Drosophila melanogaster: one gene and its partner. The protein of the gene in region 2 interacts with the protein of the main gene of each other region in a pairwise test. Each region holds a gene or a part of one and is shown on either strand. Other genes may lie near its edges.

What was found.
Region 1: the proteins of CG7606 (region 2) and CG14989 interact in a two-hybrid assay, tested with the Drosophila melanogaster proteins (one large-scale study listed by BioGRID).

Annotation. Positions count from the first base shown.
Region 1 is NT_037436.4:4,085,554-4,089,309, reverse strand, and holds the start of CG14989 (uncharacterized protein), read right to left. Parts: upstream 1,730-3,756; 5' UTR 1,606-1,729; intron 1,099-1,605; exon of another isoform or gene 566-1,098; intron 351-565; 5' UTR 344-350; coding exon 96-343; intron 1-95.
Region 2 is NT_033777.3:17,594,650-17,598,405, reverse strand, and holds the start of CG7606 (uncharacterized protein), read right to left. Parts: upstream 1,871-3,756; 5' UTR 1,844-1,870; coding exon 1,643-1,843; 3' UTR 1,630-1,642; intron 1,575-1,629; 3' UTR 1-1,574. Other genes in the region: Sgs5 (salivary gland secretion 5), read right to left, coding at 2,408-2,442, 2,502-2,690, 2,747-3,014; Sgs5bis, read right to left, coding at 3,433-3,458, 3,516-3,704.

The DNA of each region.
Region 1 (3,756 bases), on a different chromosome or scaffold from region 2:
ACTTGCCAACAATAAACACTTGAGTCACTTTGCGCCGAGGCACCTTACTTTCAGTAATTCCTAGAGTTTTCGATTGCTGTTTATCCGAAACTTACCCGCAGAGCTCTTTACACAGCAAACTCCAATCCTGAACTGCGCTGATGGTTTGGACGTCTTCAAGGATTTTGGCTGCTGAATGCGCTGCCGTCGGAGCAGCATCCCCCAAAGTGTCGTCCTTCAGGACGGGCGATGACGTCACAGCCTGCGCCTGCGCAGCCAGGATGAGGATTGTGACCAATGGTATGACGAGCTGTAATCCACATCCCCCCATTTTTCTCTGTCGCTTTTCAACACGCTCTCCCATCGCTGGGCTGAAAAGAGATGGGTAGATTACGGAACTGGGGGATGGGTTTTTCACGCTGGTTTGGGGCGTATTATCCTCCAGGGAGGACTGGGCCAAAATGGAGACTGTTTGGCCCCGTACAATAGGAGCAATTGTGCTCGAAATGCAATTATCGCGCTCTCAAAAATAGGCAGCAAAAAGCAGCGTTTGGGGTACTTGCCTGCGGGGCCTAATCCTTACACCATTGTTATCCCGAGCATTTGCTATCCGAATATCATTCGCTTGATTTGCCAAACCGAAAGGGGTTATGCAATCGCCTGTCTTTCGAACGCAACTGAGACTCCCACCTGGCATCCTGGCATTCTGGCATCCTGACAACGCTTTTGCAACGGGATTCTCGTCGAAAATACCTCACATAAATGCCTCAGCTAACCAACCTGCTGGAATCTTATTTTGTCAGCGTAATGACAGGCTAAACAGTCGAAATTCCCAAACTCCCATTTGTTTTCCACGGGCAACGAAAAATGTTCATGGCCCCCGGGGTGCGGAGCATTCCCTGGCCCACTGTGCTTCTGATGCCTCTGGCTGGCAGTTGAGAGTCGAGTGCCAAAGAGGACGCTTCGCCCTGGCCAGAAACGCCCGGTCTGAATTAGCCGCCCGAGAATAGCAGACCCAAGCTCCCAGCTCCATCCGCATCCGTGGGTGGCACTTGACTCCAAACATTTTCGCCTATCTGGGTTACAGGGCCTACTTGCGCTACGTGCAATCACAGCCAGGTGAGCATCCTATTTTCTGGTCGAGAGCTCATCTCATTGTTCAATTCCATTCGCTAGTTGTGCTCTTATGAAAGGGTATCGATCCTGTCTAACTATTTCTACTGATGCAAAGTATCTATCTCAATTTATTTATCTGCTATCATTAATAATAAGGAATGTTTATAATGAAGTATTAAATATTTAATGACTGCATAGTTTTATTTTTTGATAATTTTACAAATCCCTTTCAGCTTTCTAGTTTGATTAAAATCAAATAAATAGTTCTTCAAAGCTTTGTTATTTTTAGTAATATGACTATTCTTTTAACTAAAATATTCCTTAAAAATGTACATATAACTTTTAAAAGGGACTGCAAGGCGACATGCTTGTATTGCAACCATTATTTTTGAGAGTATTTTAAACATCGCTCTTAAAATGGCTTAAACCCATAATCCTTTTGTTTGTCCATGTCTGCTGCTGTTTCTGTTACTGTTTCTGTTTCTGTTTCCGTTTCCTGTTACAACTCACTGTGCTTTTCCAAAAGTTTGACTCAATTAAATCCGATTGTTCGTGGCACCTGCTCCGCTCGAAATGCTTAAATCCTTAACTCGACGGGATTTATATAAAGCTGTCCGCTACAAATGGTAGCAGTTGTTCAACTGAGCCCAAACCGGCCCAAACGAAAATCCCACTTACTAATAATAAATGTTTTTGATGGCTTTATCTGCCGGTGTCATAGATTCAAGTGCGAATCAGAGGATAGACTATCGCAGATACACCCGATCCCCCCCTCCTTTTCAGACTGGTCTGTTTGCCATATATCTGCGATAAGTGCAGACCGAGTGCCTAATTATTATTGGTAGCACATGCCGTTGAAGTGCTTTTCAGATAGCAGGCGACTTTATTTCGCCATGTTTAGTGGTTCTAAATACCATGAGCTGTTTTTGTATCAGAAATATTTGTCTGACACTTGTGATGGATGGGTTTTGTTAAAGGGTTACGCAGATGTTAAGGCGTAGGGTGCAAATTCATATCTATTAGGCGCCATATTTGTCACTTAAGGTCTTCTAAAATGTTTTTATTGTTTCAAGAAAGCAATTGAGCAATTAACAATTAAAAAACTGCGAAGAAAGTCCTTTCACACAGTTGTTGCCACATCAAAAGTAACGATTTCGTTGTGCAATTACGGCTTTATGGACTTTCTGCAACTGCCGTTGGATTTCTTCTAGCTAGTGCTACAAAGTAATGCACTACGCCCTATGAGAATGTTTTGAAAGTCATGTTGAACAAGTGTCGACTTCATTTTGCCAATATTGCAGGCATTCAATAAAAAAGATGGATCACAGGGACTAGCAAGGGAGTTATTGCCACTGTAATGGCCTTCTTAAGTTGCAATCAGTTACATCGAAAGACACTTTTCAAGTGCCAGAGCCCTCGCAACGAAAATACGCTGACGCATTGGATCCTGCCCAGGGAGCAGGAGCTGGAGCAGCAGCAGGACCAAGTGCCAAGTGCCAAGTGTGTGGTAACATCCTACGCCAGCTGCTCCGTGTGTCAGATAAGAATGGAAGTGGAGTGGGTGGAACTCTTTTGCGGCAAGTATTCCTAGGGTTCTCGTTGTTTAAGCTTCTCCAGTTTGATGGACGTCCTTTTTGGTCCTGCTGCTCCTGGGCTCTTTACCCAAGTTGCATAACATGGCCATAGATGTTCTCTGGCCCTCAAAAGTATGCTACGAAACGCGTTCTATTGGAAATGATGCAATTTCACTCTGAGATACATATCTATTTTGCATAGCCCAAGTGGGCGGGCGGCCTAGCTTTGACCCAAATTTCGTTTTTGTTCTATATACCAGGAATCTATATGCTTTGGCTTCTATATCTAAGCGCACATATGTACATATATGCGGGAAATGAAAGTAATTATAGGGTTATTTTTTTTTGTTTCATTCGACAGGAAACTCTCATAAAAAGTTGTGGGTCATTGTAAATGTCAGAAACAGTGGCAAAATTAGTTTGTTAATTAGCTTTTCATTTGGTCGCCCCATCACAATCTATATTTTCCTTTCCCTTTATCCCGTTTTATTATTTCTTTAGCATTCACCAGGCGTGCGCACATATTTCATGTGTATCTGTTGGATACTTTGGGGCGCGCATGGCCGAAGCTCCGCCCACGCAAAATGGCCTTAACAAAGATGGTTTCCGAAAAATCAATGACGTCACCCGGAGAATTTCCCGCATTTTCCTCAGCCCCACTGTTGTTGTCGTTGTCGCTGAAGGTTATGCAAGAGATTGAGGAGTAGTATGTATATACATAGGTACGCTTGTAGTGGTATATGGGCAGCCATTTTTTGGATGCGAAAAGCTTCGTAGGCAACTCAGGCGGATGCTGCTGCTCATAGCTCCGCAGATCGTCAGCGAGTGTAGGCTGCTCAGTTCCCTAAGTTTCCCAAACCGAAAGTGAAAGTTGCCCGAAACCTGTGAACCTGTGAAAATATATATACATTTCAAATCCAATAGTAATTCCCAGTCCGTTCAATCAGCGAATTGTTGCTCCTCCGTTTCGCGAGTGATTTTCAGTGTTTTTTGTTGTTGCTAGGAAGAAGAGAACTCTGTAAGTTGTCGTTGGTTTAGACCACAAGTAGTTAATCGCAGCTCCATCTCAGAGATACATTTCGATACA
Region 2 (3,756 bases):
AAGCACTATAATTAAGTTGTTGACCCGACCCGACTTGACCCTCACTGAATCGGTTTGGGCCAAGATGCGATGCACAACAACAACCAACAACCAACAACTGACAACTGACAGGCGCATAGGCCTCGAATTAATTAATATGTTTGCATAGCACAAGATGCAGCAATACAGCAATTATGAACTGGCACGGGTGTGTCCCGTCATTCTCCCTATTCCCCCCACTAATTACCAATTTTTAAGTCCTCGAAATGCACTTAATTTTCCACTGATATGGATCCTCCCTTTCGCGTTCTAATGTCCGTTGTGGCCTATTGAACACACCCCTTGGTATTTGGCCCACCTTACCTAAATGAAACGGCACGCGCCGCTGGAAATTTTTCACCAAACATTTTCAACATACCTCTGCGGTTTTCCGGACGTTTTTATAGTTCTTCTCAAATTGCTCTAATTCGTTAAGTTATAAAACCGGCCGCCAAGTTTTCAGATCCATTTACTTTTATTGCCACGGCGGCGGTCAATGAACCAGAAGTCAAAAGGACTGCCCAAAAAGGACGACACATGCGTGTTAATCTCTAATTTGCTAGGTGATCATGTGGATATATATATATATACATATATATATATAGATAGAATGCATACATATTCAACATCACAGCGGGTAGTTGATAGGAGCTTGTTCCATTCGTATCCTTTTAATTGCCAGACGTCGCCGTGTTTCGAATTTCGGTATCTAAAGTTGTTTTTCCCATTTTAATGGCGCTATTTTCATTAGGCAAATGTATGCTCGCCTTATTCCTTTCAATTCACTCCCAAAAAATGTCGACTCCTTTATTTTTTTGTGCCGCTCATTAGCATATAAAATGTATGAGTTGTCCTTTATTTGAGAGGCAGTGGTTGTGCTCGCCAGCGAATGGGTCTGTATACACAATCCACGTTTATTGCATATTCATCATTTTAATTGCTTGTTTTCATACTAAATGACTCGATAAGGCTTTTACGGCTATTAGGCGCAGGCATCCTGCGGCTCGACAGTTGGGTCATCTGTATCCATATTTAAAGGATACTAGGAGGAACTTGGTCAGATACGCCAATTTGAACCGAAGTGTGTTTAGCACGGATAAATAAACTCTTTACTTTTCCAATTCGAAGACAAGCCTGGCTTTGGAATCCTTCAAATGAAATTAAATACTGCAGGACTCCAGCTAAAAGGACAAAGGAAGCAATTCACGTAGAAAAGTGCAAACGAGATGTAGCCGAGGGAAAAGGCAGGCGAATGGGGTCCCGATATGATTACTTTTCCTTTTGTTTTCCCATTTCGGAACTCGGAACTGGGGAAATCAAGAAAGCGTGGTGGAAAGAACAAAGGAATTACTTTGCCAACGAGTGAACGAATATGAATAAAAAAGTGATCAATGCAATGAAAATGATTGTCTGCTCATTGTACCGCTCCCTTTACAATTGAGCGCACAAAGTGCGAAAAGATGAAAGTTTGCAAAATGTATCAGTACTTTAATGAAAAGGAAAAACAAATAATTTGAAAAACGAAGGTTTTGTGAAGGCAAAGTTCTGAAGGGGTCCTGCAATTTGGGTATATTAATGAAATATTTTACACCATTTTTGTGCTACACCTACCTGGAGTCCTGGATTAATCCTTGCAGCCACACCCGGAAGAGGAAGGACATCGACAGGGGTTGCAGCCACATCCGCAGGATCTGGATCCGCAAGAGAGGCACTGCGGCTTGCCACACCCACACCCGCACTCGACCTGTTCCGGCTCCTCAACGGAACAGCTCTGGACCATGGAGATGGTCAGGGCAACCAGGATGATTAACTTTATATTGAACATTGTCTGGCTGTAGAAATCGAAGTCCACTTGAAACTGTGCCAAGGCGGAATGAGGATCGACTCTTTATAGGTTCAACTTGGGGGTAGGGCATTATTTGATCAGTTGATCTTTTATTCTATTTTAGGCTATCACTGCTGATTAAGTAAACGAGTGGCTCTGCGCCTTTTTATTTATCAATAATATATGTTTTCTTTAAATTTATAGTCGATTCAAGGTTGATAACACTTCGTTCTGCGTTTATAATTGATTTGTAAATATTTTCAATATATGTAAATACTATTTACTGGTTTTTAAGGAAAAAAAATGACATTTAACCAAAAGTTAAAGACCAAAAAAATAAATAAATTATGGTGTTGAAAAATAAAAAGCTTTTCAATGTTTAAACATATGCATAGCTGTTTAGTCTAAAAAAGATTTTCATATTCAAAAAAATTTATTGCACTCGTCATTGAATATATTTCTTTATTATTTGTAATCCATCTCCCTTTAAATGAACAAATCAACAAAATAATAAAACAAACAAACAAAGATATTAGTAACGTGATCCAACTGAATCCACCTCACTTAGAAGGGCCAACAATAGGAATAAGTCAGGAATGCTGTAAAGATACAAAATGTATATATTACCGAAAATTTGGAACCAATTCTTTTGACTTACGTTTGCTGTTCTCCGCTGAGAATTTCAGCAGGTGGCACAAACTGTAGAATCTCTCTGTGGCAATCGATCCTGGCTTTCGATTGCATCCACAGGGAGCCGGAATGGGGAATTCAGCAACCACGGGGAAACCCACGCTGCACTTTTTGCAGATGAAGGAACGGCAGAGTTCCTCCGTAACGGGCACAAATGCTGTATTTACAAGATATAAATAAAATACTTTTTACTTAACTGGTTAATTTACTTACGGGATCTACCCTCCTTTTTGCGCTGGTCGCTCTCGATTTGCATAAGGCATTCGTTTTGGAAACAACGGCAGACACAATCCTGAAGAGCCCATTGGTAGTTCCTATAGTAAATATTGCATTTACTTGGGACGCTCGTAGAGTTCTTTATTTCGGATTCAATTTCAGGCTCTGATACTGGTTTTTCTTCGATTTTCGTCTCCTGGACGGCTTGTCCATGGTGGAACCACGAAACGGCCAATAACAAAAGCAGCAATTTAATATTGAACATGTCGTAAAAGTGGCTAAGAATATAACTGTCCCCATAATATCTCATTTGGCTATTTATATTGAATACACTCCACTGTTTTAGCAGTTGTGGCAAAGCGCTTTATTGACTTAGTGCATCTGAAAGTAAAATGTTTGCAGAACGTACGCAAACAACCTTGACTGGCCAAAAAAACACAGCCATAAATTTTCCACTCCAAAAAAAAGCTTTATCACACAGGTTCCTAAAAACAGACTCTAAAAAACATAAGCAACGAAGACTTATAAAATCAGGTAATAATGCACCGTTTTAGGCGCTTAGTCAATCAACTCTTAAGACAAATGTAACAAAAACGTTTGCTGCTTTAAAATGTTTATTCATTATTTTTAACAAGGACGCGTTCGAGGTAGTCAAATTATCATCATCAATTACAAGTCATCTTTTAACACTTCGAGTAGCTGATATAGGCTGAAAGATATAATTATTTATGTTATTAACTATATTTCTATACAAACATCAACTTACGTTTGTTGCATTCAGCTGCGTACTTCTGCAGTTCGCACAGACTCAAAAACTTCTTGATTTCCAGACTGCCCTGTTTGCCATTGCATCCGCATGGCGATGGAATCGGGAACTTGGCCAGCACAGGCCATCCAAGGAAGCACTTGCGCTTGATGAACTTCTGGCACACCTGCTCGGTGACCGGAATTAGAGCTGAAAAATATAAACAAAAATAAGGTATAACTAAATGATAGTGTTTTAATAG